Oryzias latipes: one gene and its partners. The protein of the gene in region 2 interacts with the protein of the main gene of each other region in a pairwise test. Links are inferred from orthologs where the notes say so. Each region holds a gene or a part of one and is shown on either strand. Other genes may lie near its edges.

Region 1 (3,951 bases), on a different chromosome or scaffold from region 2:
TGATGAAAAAATCTCCCCTGTAGAAAAGTTTTTCCCTTAGTAGGTCATAATGTGAATGAGTAGAGGTACAGTATGTATGGGCATAAAGAGCAAGAGTGAAAGCTAAGGCTACCAGTGGATTTGTTTTCTTTTGGAATGGTAGACTATCCAATGAATTCCAAACCACCAACTCTTATAAAAAAGGTCAGCATAATCCAATGGTCAAATGGTGTTTTGAGACTCTGGAATACTGTTGATCCTTCTTGGTCTTCGGGGCATAAATCAAAACGGTGTGGAGAGAGTGCTCACCCTAATGATCCGTCTGCACCCATACACTGTTTTTGTAGAGTGTAAGTCATAAATGTTTGTTAGGATCCTTATTGCTAGGCCCCACTGACGTATGATGGTATTACCTGATGTCTTATTTTGAGGTTGACCAATGGATGAGTAAAGAAGCTTGAATTTGCCAAAGAACAAACAAACAAAAATCATGATGCAATAACTTACTAACCATGCTTTTTAGACCAAAAATTCAGAACTTTAAGAAAACAAACTTTATTTGGATGGATTTCAAAGAGTGAGGAATTAAAAGTTCAGTCTAATTTATCAAAGTACTTCAGCTTGCCTGAAGGGTCAGGAATGATCTGTGGAGGGAAAAATATTTAATTACAAACATTATTTTATTAAAAACAGGACTGCAAACAACAATGACCATTTGATAAAACCAACCAGATTTGATTTTTATCTCAATGTTTGATACAATCATGTGCAGGTTAAATACATGAAAGTTGTTCTTGCTTTTTGATCTGAATAACAGCTCATCATTTGGCCAAACCAAGACAGACTCATTCTCAAAAATGAAGCCATTTCATTCTTCCTTTCCAGTAATAGAATTATTCATGAGCACAGTTGTACTTACTGTGTCACTGCCTGGTTTCCATCCTGCTGGACACACTGTGGAAAAAAAGTATTAATTTATTAAAAAAATATATTTATAAGTATTCATTTTCAACTATAGAAATTGTGTAAAAAAATGGTGTTAGTTGTACCTTCTCCGTGTTTGTCAGTATACTGGAAGGCCTGAACCAGCCTCAAGGTTTCATCTACAGATCTTCCTACTGGAAGATCGTTCATGGTGATCTGTCTCAGGATGCCTTTGTTGTCAATGATGAAGAGACCCCTGAAAGAAGCACACATGTTACTATTGGGCAGCTTTTTTTTGCTTTTCCTATTTAGCCACCTTCACATTGCTCTTGGTGACGCAACGTTCAAGTGATCACTTTCAATGCAAAATCTAGGTAAATGTGCGTATGTGTGTTTCAGGCTTCTGCATTAACCCTTGTGCTATCCTAGGCACTTTAACGTTGGGAGTTGGGTCATCTAGACCCACTAGACAGTGCTCTGAATCTTTTTTCTTCAATGATTTGTGATCTTCACTGGTGTCCATGGATTACATGAAATCTTTCCACCTTTATCCACCTTTGTCATGGTAGGAAGAACACGTCAATGTAAGGATGGGGTCATCTAAGATAGCACAAGGGTTAAAAACTCTCGCATTCGTGCTTCGCTACGCAAGTTCCTACGATCGTTTTTAGGCTCTACATACGAAAAGCATGGCCACTGAAAATGCGTTGCAAGTTAAACCAGGTTGAACTTTGACCAATCAGAGAATCGGATTCCGTAGTGATGTTTGGATGGCGTTCTTTTTTAATCAACAGAAGTACCAACTGTCTGTTAATTGATCATGGAGGAGAATTTAATAATTGTGCTAAATGCCTGGCCGGAACTATATGACAAGTCTTTCATATATTAGAATAGAATTGTGAAAAAAATATAGTTTAGAGCAAGATTCGTGCGATTTGCACAGCTTTGACATTTCCCACCAAGTCTCTTTCAACTGTAGGTGGTGGACATGCGTTAGTTAACAGTAGAAAAAGGAATAAAAAAAAAATAAGAGTCCCCTCCCTGCTTCACCAGTATAAATACCATGTGCTAAACGTGTGTTCAAGAAAGCATGTTTAGCACGTTTATGAACATGCGTCAAATGCCCAGTGTTAACGTAGCATTACACACAATTTATATTCAGTTGTGTAAAGTCATATGATGTAAAGTTAAGTTTTCCATCCACTGCTTGTGAATAAAATAATTCCAATTAACTTAATTCATTCAAAGCAGTGTCCATCATTATCAAGCAGCAGAGACTCCATAAGAAGCTGACCCCCAGTTCTGTTTAATTTAATGCCCACTGTGATAGACTTGCCCTGATGTAACCATCACTTTCAAAGACAACCTCAACATCTTCAACTCTGTGGCCTCCAGCTCTGCCTCCTGTCTCTTTCTCAGAGCCACCGTCTAAACACTCAACTTGCTCTCACCAAAACCTTCTGCACCTTTCCTTTCATTCTTGCTGACAGCAAAACCTTCTGCTTGTAAAAACATGAAAAACATGAAGTCTGAAACCTTCCTTCATCTGTTCTCACCTTTTTCCACAAAGCTCTGTTGATCCCTAGTACTTAAAGTCCTCCACCTTCTTCACCTCTGCTCCCTGTAAGCTCCTTGTTCCACTTGAGTTCCTCTCATTTAAACACAGATACTCTGTCTAGCTACAGCTGGCCTTCTTTCCTCTCATTTCCAGAGAAAGCTTCCACCTCTCTAGATGTTCCTCCACCTGCTCCCTGCAGACCACAATGTCATCTGCAAACATGGTCCACAGAGATTCCTGTCTAACCTCATTTGTCAGTCTGTCCATCACCACAACAAAAACAAGAAGAGGCACAAAGCTGATCATTCGTGTAGTCCCACCTCCACCATCAACTCTTCTGTCACACCAAAAAGGACATCTCACTACTATCATACAGCTCTCTGCCCTGAACAACTCCCACCTATCTATGTCACTCCAGACTTCTTAGTACAAACTCCACCTCTTTTCTCTGTATCTTGTCATAGACTTTCTCTAAATCTACAAAGAGACAATGCACCTCCTTCTGACCTTCTCTGTTCTTCTTAAAAACATTTTCAAAGCAAACATTGCAGCTGTGGTTCTGTTAGTTGGCATTAACCTTACTGTTGCTCACAAATGCTTACTTCTGACCTCAGCATAGCTTTCACTACTCTTTCCCATAACTTCACTATGTGAATCATCAGCTTTCGTCCACTATCGTTTCCTCAATTCTGAACGTCTCCCTCCCTCCTTCTTAAAAATGGGCCCCAGAACACTTCAACATCCTCTCACTGGTTTAGACTTTGGTAAAAAACCCAGTCAGAAACTCTTCTGCCACCTCTCCTAAGCACTCCATAGGCATGTTGGCAAGACCATCTGCCTTTCCACTCTTGATCCTCTTCCTCACTTCATCCTTTCTAATCTTTGCTACTATCTGTTCCACAACAGCCAACTCATCTCTGTGCCCTCCAAATATTTTCCATATTCATCCGGTCTTCAAACTTCTCCTTCCATCATGCTTATGGAACTTGTCAAAAACCAGCTTCTGCTTTCTTTGTATCAAACCTGTCATACAGGTTCTTATGCGCTCTTTGATTTGCCTCCAGCTGCATGTCTTTGTACCCCTGTCTGCTCTCTTCTGATCTCTCAAGTGAAACACAGACCAAACCGCAAAACTAAAATGAACCAAAGGGGTTTACATAAAGAAACTTTGGCAACTCCTTACCCAAACAACTAAACCTAATTCTTTTTAATTTCAAAAGATAACACCTCAATTTAATTTCTGATTTTATTTATATGTCAAATTTCCACTCTAAGGGCACGGTTTTGTTACGGACACCTGTTTTCACAGAAATACTGGTTTAAATGGAACATTTCTTTTTTCAGAATCATGGGAAAAACAAATGTACCCCCCATGAATTATTATTCCACTGAGAATAAAACCCAACTGTAATGAACATCAATAATAAATTGAAATGGATGAACACAAACTACTATATAAAAGTCTCAGTGACCAATTTCAGAAAAAAAAG
Region 2 (4,231 bases):
GTGATTCAGAAGTGCTCTCCTTAACGCTGCAGAATCCCTTAGGATTATTATTATTCTGTTAAAACTCTTAAAGTTTTACAGGTATTGTGCAGTGTGAGCACCAAGTCCATTGTCTTTGGCATCCAGATAAACTACTCATGTTTTTTTCACAGTTGGTCTCTTTGCATCTGGAACTCAAAACGGCAGAGTTTCCATAAAGATCTTCTCCACGATTGGTGGGGGAGGAACCAGATCTTCTAGTTTGAGGTAAAAGATGCGCTGGAAACCTTGCGTGCACAGAGTCCTGAGCTCGGGCAACTTGCCGAGAAGTCTAGACAGATAATTGGGCCGTAAGGACTCTGAACCACAGCTAGTCACATGGTCTTTCAGGCAGGTGATGAGCTGGTTCTGTAAATCCTCCACCCGTTTGGGCTCCTTCAGGCCATGTCGATCTGTTGAAAAAAGCAAGACACTGTCAAATCTCATTTTACAAAATAAACACAAATAAAAGTACTTTCCACCTCTGAGTTTATCTCATTTGTGTGCACACTGTTGTATACTGTTTTTGTACAAACACAAAGGTCACTTAGCTAACCTCTCAAAGTGCTGTTACCTTACAAGCCTTGAGTCAAAAATAAAACCTTCACTCTGTTTCTGTTTAGGTCTCCTATGCCATCTTTACTGTGCTGTACGTGAAGTTATGCTGCTCTTTGTCATGCACCTGTCACATCGGTCTCTCATGGTTATGCTGTTTAGTGTCCCTGACAAAGAAACACGTGCACACTTTTTTGACTATAGCTAGTGTTAGTGCAGAGAAGCCTGAGACCAACAAACATCTCACCTGTGATGAGGATCAGGGCTGCAAGGCAGGAGAAGGAGGAGACATCCAACTTCATGCGATGAAGGCTTTGAGAAAACTCCAGGATGGAGTCGATCCATTCCCCAAAGCCCCGGACACACTGTGTTTTATGCAGGACAGCTCCGTTGCAGAAGATGAGCTTCTCCATTTTAGGATTGGACCTTTATAAATGGTAAAAAAGTATGTGTTGTTGTTTTTTTTTCAAACATTAAGAGATAAACAGAACAGAAACCAGAGGAGAATGGCACACACCGATAGGCAAGACGCAGGATAAAGAGTTCAACGAATGCAGATTCCACCAGCAGTTCCTGATCCTCCAAGCAGAAGTCAGAGAAACCTGGGATGTCCTTCGCCCACTTTCTGATAACCTCTAAAGAAGCCGTGAGGAGGTCGTAAAACTGCTTTATGTCACTCACGTCTTCCTTCTGGTTCGCGCTGACTTCCTTCTCGAGGTACTAAGAGAACATAAAACAAATGGGAGTTTAGCTTTATTCAAAGTATACAAAAACAGAACTACAAAAAAAGAGGAACCCTGCTTTGGCTTACCTTAGAGTAATCCAGATTTCCAACAGCAGGGTTTGAGTCAATGTGGGCCCTGACCAGCGACGCAATCATGCTCACTGGGGATACAATGGGAGTGGCATCTTTGACACCTTTAGGCTTCGATGGTAAGCGACCCCTCCGTCCTTTCAGGCTATCCGTTCTAACAACTGTAGAAAAAGGTGACATCAAGTGTTAGTCTCAAATTATTCATCTTCCCTGAATCTCTCTTCTCTATATTTGCTATGAAAGCAGACTCTTGTTTAAGGAAAAGAACAGTCCAATTGAACATTTTAAAGCTTGATGTAGAATCTATCATGTTTCATTTATGCTTGATATTAATGTTGCCATTAGCTTTAGAGTTGTTATTTTCAATAATATGATAGTACAATGAGGTATTGTACTTTGCATACCTTCTCTGACCATTCCCACTGCCAGACACTTCTGGAAGCGACAGAACTGGCATCGATTTCTCCTCCTCTTGTCCACAGGGCAGTCTTTGTTGGCAAGGCAGACATACTTGGAATTTTTCTGAACTGTGCGCTGTGAAAAAGAAAACAGTAGAGGAATTAGTTATTTTACCTTTTAAATTGCTATGTTTCTATGAAGCGACTAAGCCACTATGGACTGGTTTGTCTTTTCTTACCTTGAAAAAACCCTTGCATCCCTCACAGGTGCGGACCCCATAGTGCTGACAGGAGGCATTGTCTCCACAAACAGCGCAGCCGCCCTCACTTCCACTTTTCAGCTTGGGCGATAGACTTCCATCCCGCTGTTCAGCACTGTCGAGACAAAGGGCCTGTTCCATCCCCATAGCGGGAAACTGCATCGCAGATGGGTGAGGTTGAGATGCGGCAAAGGGTTCCTGCTCTCGGAAAAGTGCCTGACCCAAATGAGACATGTCCTCCACAGAACCTGAGCCAAACATGAAAAAAGATGGAGTATGTGGCCCTGAGGTGTCCTCAGTCATCCAGTATCCTTGACCAGGGGAATATGGCCCAAAAGCTGAATCCCAGTTAGACACATTCTGACTCTGGAACCCAGGAGTCGAAGGAGAAGAGGCGGACGCGGGGCTGCCAAAGTAATCCGAGCCACTGGGAGACACAGCCTCATCTGGGTAACTCAGAGTGAACGCTCCAGGGTAGCAGCCATAAACTTGGAGCTCGTCCAGCTTGAAGGGGCTTTCCTGGCCTGACGCTGAAGGTACATGGGCAGGGGTTGTAGTGAACTGGCATGAGTACGCATCAAAAGATCCCGTAGGTGTGCCCACCAAGGAGCCGATGCTTGGCAGGGACGGAGTAGAGTGGTGCTCCAGGGAGCCACTCATGTCAACGGCCAGCCTGGAGAGAAAGTCTGCATTCTGAAGCTCAGAGCTGCTGAAACTGCTCTCAGTGGGCTGACGTCCATGTCGGGGGTGTACGCAAGTCATGACTGTGAGACTGAGAGAGAAATGAACATGTTAGCTTGGATTTTAGGTCTTCAATGAGCTTTCAAGAACAAGCTTCCACTCCAGAGTGAAATGTTATACATAATGTATACACACAGCTCAGTGGAGCAGCTTATTGTCAATCCTTAAGATCCTGATTCAATTCCTGTGTCTACCAATGGAGCATCAGTATTTGGCTTTTCAAACTTCAATTTATACAAATGTTTTACTGATATATCAAATAAAAAAACCAAGAGTACCATAATTACTGCTGCTGTCATCTTTGTATTGAAAGTATTGTTTATCACAACCCTTTGACACAGTATCTCTGTAATTTAAGTGAATATTTTTAACTTGAATTTTCATGTTTCTTCCCTGTCAACCTCCATTTATAAGAAAATCCTAGAAAGTCGTGCTTGTTTGTTGGAGCAGTCATCAAATCCCACTTTATCATTTCTCATTTCCTAGTAATTATAGTAACGCCTGAAAAGTGCAGCGGGGTTGACTTTCACTCTGGAGTACACTGCCAAAACACGCATGTGCAAAATTAAACCAGCAGACTACTAACTTCAGAAGACTTCATCGACTTTTTAAACACGTGAAGCGATTTCAAAAAACATTAAACCGCATATGTGCGTGCAGCTGTAAAAGTCAGATGATTTGTTTTCCGTTCAAAAATAAAAATAAAGCAGTTCAAATAAACACTATAGGATTGATTTACTAAGATGCTTCTTACCTGTCTAGTCCGTTAAAGTATTTTTGTGAATTTTCTCCACTTTACGAGCGACCGTCTCTCATGATCAGCGTCTCCCAGCTGACAGGTTCTCCGTCCGGCTCCTCTGGTCCTCCCCGCCTCTCTTATACTTTTGCTCTAGCGTAGCACTGTCCATGACGTCATTTTCCATGCGTGTCAAATGAGTGGGCGGGAGATTTCCATGGTGCAGCCAATCACAGCACCTTTCGAGAGAACAGCGCTTTTGTGACGCACTACGGGATTCCGTTGACGCTCGTACGCCCAGAACCGCAGCTTTGTCCGACTTGACAGACACGTGCGCACGGGCGCGCGCTACTGATATCTAGGTAAAACAGAGTAGATCTGAATAAAAGTGGGAGGTTCTATTTAGCAAGTGTTTATTAACATTGAGCAAATGGAAATACAGGGATCTAACCCCTTTAATAACAATAACTCAGTTACTTAAAAAAACGCCTAAGTTTGGGTCAATTCAATTGCAAGTAAAAGCAAGAATAGAAAGCCCTGTACAAAACATTTAAGAAATTGTTCCCTCACATTAACAATTACCATATTATGCACACAATGTAGCATTCTGTAACCACAATGTAGCATTTTGTAACCACAATTTGACATTATATGGGCACAAGAACATTTTATTAGCGTTTTGTAGCCACACAAATTAAAGTTTTGTGTG
Region 3 (4,129 bases), on a different chromosome or scaffold from region 2:
TCTTCTTCAATTCCATGGGGGGGAAAGAAAATACAAAAGGTGGGTTCCTTATAAAAAAAAGAAAACAAAATCAGTAAAAATAAAGGCAACAACATGATTTTCTTTTTTTTTTAACTTCATCTCCCCTTTTTTCACATTTACTTTCCTGTTGCTATGAACACTTAAAGTATCAGTTAAAAAAAGAAAAATTCAAACACTTCGCTTTGAAGTTCAACACTTTTATTGTTTTTCCTCAAATATTAAAGTGAATAATCTCACTTTTTTCCGTAAAAGTTTTTATATAAATAACATTTAAACAAATCACAATATGTTTGTATTTACAACGTCACAGGAAATGTTCAGTCCAACAATAAATAAGAGTCAATTGAAAGTCTAAGTACATCTAATTCAGATTAACAACTAGGCAAAGCAACGAGGGTGCACCATGTCAAGTTTTGTAATTTAAAAAGAAACACACGTGTATGAATTCTTACACAATAGAAATAGTTAGGAAACACTGCGGAAACTTTATACAAATGTGCACTCCCAGTCAAAAGGGAAAACAGATATATGCATAAGTATAAGGTGCCTAAATTGCACTGTGCAAAAGAGGTATCTACAGTATATAGACACCCATCCACTGAAAATAAGCTGCCAAGACAATATGTCTTGTGTCACATATTAATGCTGAGCTACAAATAACAAAAAAAAATAATCTTTTACACAGCAATGAGTTCAAGTCACAAGGTTTGAAGCCAAAAAAAAATGAAGAATGACGACGAGTGAGAAGAAAACTTTTCTAACTATGTATATGAGCAAAAAGTGAGTCCATCATATCCGGCACACAGGAAGCTCGGGCTACATCTATCGCCGTCTGACCGCTCTGGTTGGCGTGCTTCAAGTTGGAACGCGGAGCCAGGAACTGCACGACATCGCGGTGGCCTTCCCAGATGGCAATGTGGATGGGCAGGGCGCCGTTCTGGTCAGGGATGTTCACCGAAGCTCCATTCTCCACCAGGACCTGCAGGGTGTCCAGGAACCCTGTCCTCGCTGCATCGTGGACAGGCGCTATGCCGTGTTTGTCCTGGACGTTGGCGTCTGCTCCTTTCTCCAGCAACAAGCTTGCTATTTTGGAGTTCCCCATCATCATAACCTGTTCAAAAATAAATATTGTATGCATATTTATTAGCCCTCATGCACAAATCAGCAACTTCCTTTACAGAACGCCTTCACTTTTGCTTGAAAAGAAAAATCCATCCATAATAAGAGATAGAAATAAATAAAAATATAACTGTCATAAAAAACAAATACACTAAATAAAATACAGCTTTTACTTTGAGATCTGCACTAAACCTGAAAAAGAACATTTTCATTTTTTCTGCTTACAGTTTGTTAAAGCATTTATTTTTTTATGTGTGCTATAAAAATGCAGTATCATCACGTCAAGTAGCCTGACTTAACATGTTTTACAATCTTCTAATTAAATAAAATAAAAAGTGGGAGAAAAAAAATATTTCTGTCACGTTTTTTTTAACTTATTCTTTTTCATAAAAAACACAAATGGAAAATTACCGAATAATAGAAGTGTACATTAAAAAAAAGTATATAAACAGACTCGACCATGAAGGAAATAGGGAAAAAGTTGCACCAACTAGTATCTCCACCACTGGCACTGATGCTCCAGAGACATCAGCAATAATAGTAATATATTTTATTTTCTGACCTTTATTTAATCAGGATATTCCCATTAAGATTCCAAGGGAGTACTGGGCTGCTTACAAATACATTAAAACATCTAAACAATACATTTAAATTCTAAAAATACGGAGTCATAACACAGTGAAGGATTGAAATAATAAAACAATAATTCTTGTTTGATGATTTAGTATTAATAGTATTTATATTTAATAGTATACTAGTTTACCATAGTATACCAATAAATAGTATATATTAAATAAAATACAGTACTTAGTAATAAATATTAATGGACAATTTCTAACCTTTTTCCCACCCAAATACCACTATTTTACTTTGAAATCTCTGCATGTTGGGTTAATTAAATATTGGAATAGTAATTGTTGTGTGGTTACTGTGTTTACAGTTTTTATTCGTAATTAAAGCAGCTCAAATGTAAAAAAAAAAAAAAATACCCCCGTTGCCTAAATCAGATTTCCGGTACAGTCAAGTCTGCAAATTACAGAAAGTGTCGTCGAACATTTTACTGTGAAAAGTATCAAAAACAGGAACAGCGCAACTTCCTGGAAGCGGCTATTCATTACTGAACTAATTTGGCAACATGCGCGACTTATTTATTGCGCAGAGTCAATTCCTTGTATATTACGATGGTTTAAAAAAATATTTAGCTCACTTTTTGATGTGAAGATTTTATAAGAAACAAGTGTTGAGAGTTTTATGTTTATAGCGGGCTGTAAATACAGTGGAGGAGCAAACCAACCGCCTACAGATGACTAATGTCTTACTACCGTGACAGGTCTCACCTGCAGCGCCGTCCTGCCGAACTCATTCCGGGTATCAGGATGCACCCTGCATTCCTCCAGGATCCGCTGCACTTCGCTGGTATTCCCTTTGGCTGCCGCCGCCGTCAACGCTTTGCCAGCGTCCATCTGACTGAGGACCATTATAAACTCCGTTCTTGCCTGTTCAACAGCACACGCGCCCCGTACACCATGAAAATCAACCACAGTTGGGCCATTAAAACACATAAATGCACGAGGAAGACTGAAAAAGCCAGGAAGATTGCTGTCGGCTACACCTAGCTAACAACAACATCCGGCTAACGTAACTTGTAGTTTTTACGGTGACGCCATGTTACGTGACTGTAAGCGTACTGTTTTTGACTTGGTTGTTTGGGCTAATCAAACGGCAGAAAATATCCAAATCCATATTTTTTTTATTGAGAAAATTGGCCGACACTTAAGTCACATCGACAGAGAGTTATGAAAATTAACAGAAAAGCTAAAAGCTAACCGTAAAAACCGAGCTCTTTAATCCTACCTTCGTCAATACGTTAGTATCCGAATCCTCGATACGAATTTTCAGCCCGCCGACACCGCAGTCCGGTTATTTTTTAAATACAATTCAAAATGGAAGAGTTTATAAACATTGACAAATACATTTGCGCGCTGAGATCCAAACAGTAGTGGATCTAGCCGACAATTTACAAACATTGGAGAGTAGATATGCTGGCCAATCACAGGTGGCCCAATAGGCGTTGTACTTCCATAAATGGTAAGAGAGGCGTGGTTACAACTCTGTTACTACGTTATCACTGTGGTAACAGTGGGGATTGACCAATCAGAGCGCGAAGCGAAGAAAGCGGGCGATTCGTATTCGTTTGTTTCTTCAAAGACAGTCCATTCACATTTCCACGCTTTGGTTGTATTTCTTCACAACAGTGTGGAAAAAAAGGCGGGTTCATGTCTTTCGTTTTAGGCGGAATTTGCCGGCACTGATTGCACGGTGGTGAACCACACCACGGCTGCTAAATTCAGCATATAAAGTCCTCAAGGAACAACTCACAAAGAAACAGGTGCACAAAAAACAAGTTGTTTTCAGAGGAATAATCTTATTTCAACAATTTTAAAAAGATCTGAAAAGGTGACAATAAAATCAAATTGCATGGAGATTTAATATAAAACAGTTAAAACACACAAAAAAGAAGTAAATTAAAGAAATTCTTCAGGTGCAGATAAAAGGTAAAATTCATTGTGCTCTTCTGGAAGTCCTGGAGATATGCAGTAAAGCATCTTGCAGGCTTTACTTAGGCATTTGTTCTCAACTGGTAATCTAAAACAACAACAAATGCACACAATTTAAAACACAGATAGTGTCTACTTCATACTTGAATTTTAATCAAATATACGTAATTATTATAGTATACCTCCACTTTGTGTTATATAGCGCACCCAGGGTAAAGCCTGGTAGCCACTTTTTTCAATGATTTTCATATACCGAACCTGAAAAAAAATGCATAAAGTTAAATGACACATTATTATCGCATATAGATTAGAAGGCAAAGACAAAACAAGTCAATGGACATAAAAAAAACTATTTAAAAGTCTTAATGACAATACAGTAATTGGCAACTGATATAATAAACACTTTGAAGCATTCATACCTGAATTCCTGA

What was found.
Region 1: the proteins of nr4a1 (region 2) and peroxiredoxin-4 interact in a two-hybrid assay, tested with the Homo sapiens proteins (2 studies listed by BioGRID and IntAct). The link is inferred for Oryzias latipes from reciprocal best matches to the Homo sapiens genes NR4A1 and PRDX4.
Region 3: the proteins of nr4a1 (region 2) and cdkn2d interact in binary tests that used the Homo sapiens proteins (3 or more experiments, as listed by UniProt). The two-hybrid records come from large-scale screens. The link is inferred for Oryzias latipes from reciprocal best matches to the Homo sapiens genes NR4A1 and CDKN2D.

The regions. Positions count from the first base shown.
Region 1 is NC_019872.2:14,033,042-14,036,992, reverse strand, and holds the end of peroxiredoxin-4, read right to left. Parts: intron 1,160-3,951; coding exon 1,029-1,159; intron 934-1,028; coding exon 899-933; intron 624-898; coding exon 573-623; 3' UTR 511-572; downstream 1-510. UniProt on the Homo sapiens protein: Thiol-specific peroxidase that catalyzes the reduction of hydrogen peroxide and organic hydroperoxides to water and alcohols, respectively.
Region 2 is NC_019865.2:22,178,978-22,183,208, forward strand, and holds the start of nr4a1 (nuclear receptor subfamily 4 group A member 1), read right to left. Parts: upstream 2,808-4,231; coding exon 2,025-2,807; intron 1,922-2,024; coding exon 1,792-1,921; intron 1,549-1,791; coding exon 1,385-1,548; intron 1,294-1,384; coding exon 1,091-1,293; intron 1,000-1,090; coding exon 821-999; intron 432-820; coding exon 175-431; 3' UTR 1-174. UniProt on the Homo sapiens protein: Orphan nuclear receptor. Binds the NGFI-B response element (NBRE) 5'-AAAGGTCA-3'. Binds 9-cis-retinoic acid outside of its ligand-binding (NR LBD) domain.
Region 3 is NC_019859.2:10,441,390-10,445,518, forward strand, and holds cdkn2d (cyclin-dependent kinase 4 inhibitor D), read right to left. Parts: upstream 2,823-4,129; 5' UTR 2,703-2,822; coding exon 2,478-2,702; intron 1,133-2,477; coding exon 779-1,132; 3' UTR 203-778; downstream 1-202. Other genes in the region: ap1m2 (AP-1 complex subunit mu-2), read right to left, coding at 3,761-3,786, 3,881-3,956, 4,118-4,129. UniProt on the Homo sapiens protein: Interacts strongly with CDK4 and CDK6 and inhibits them.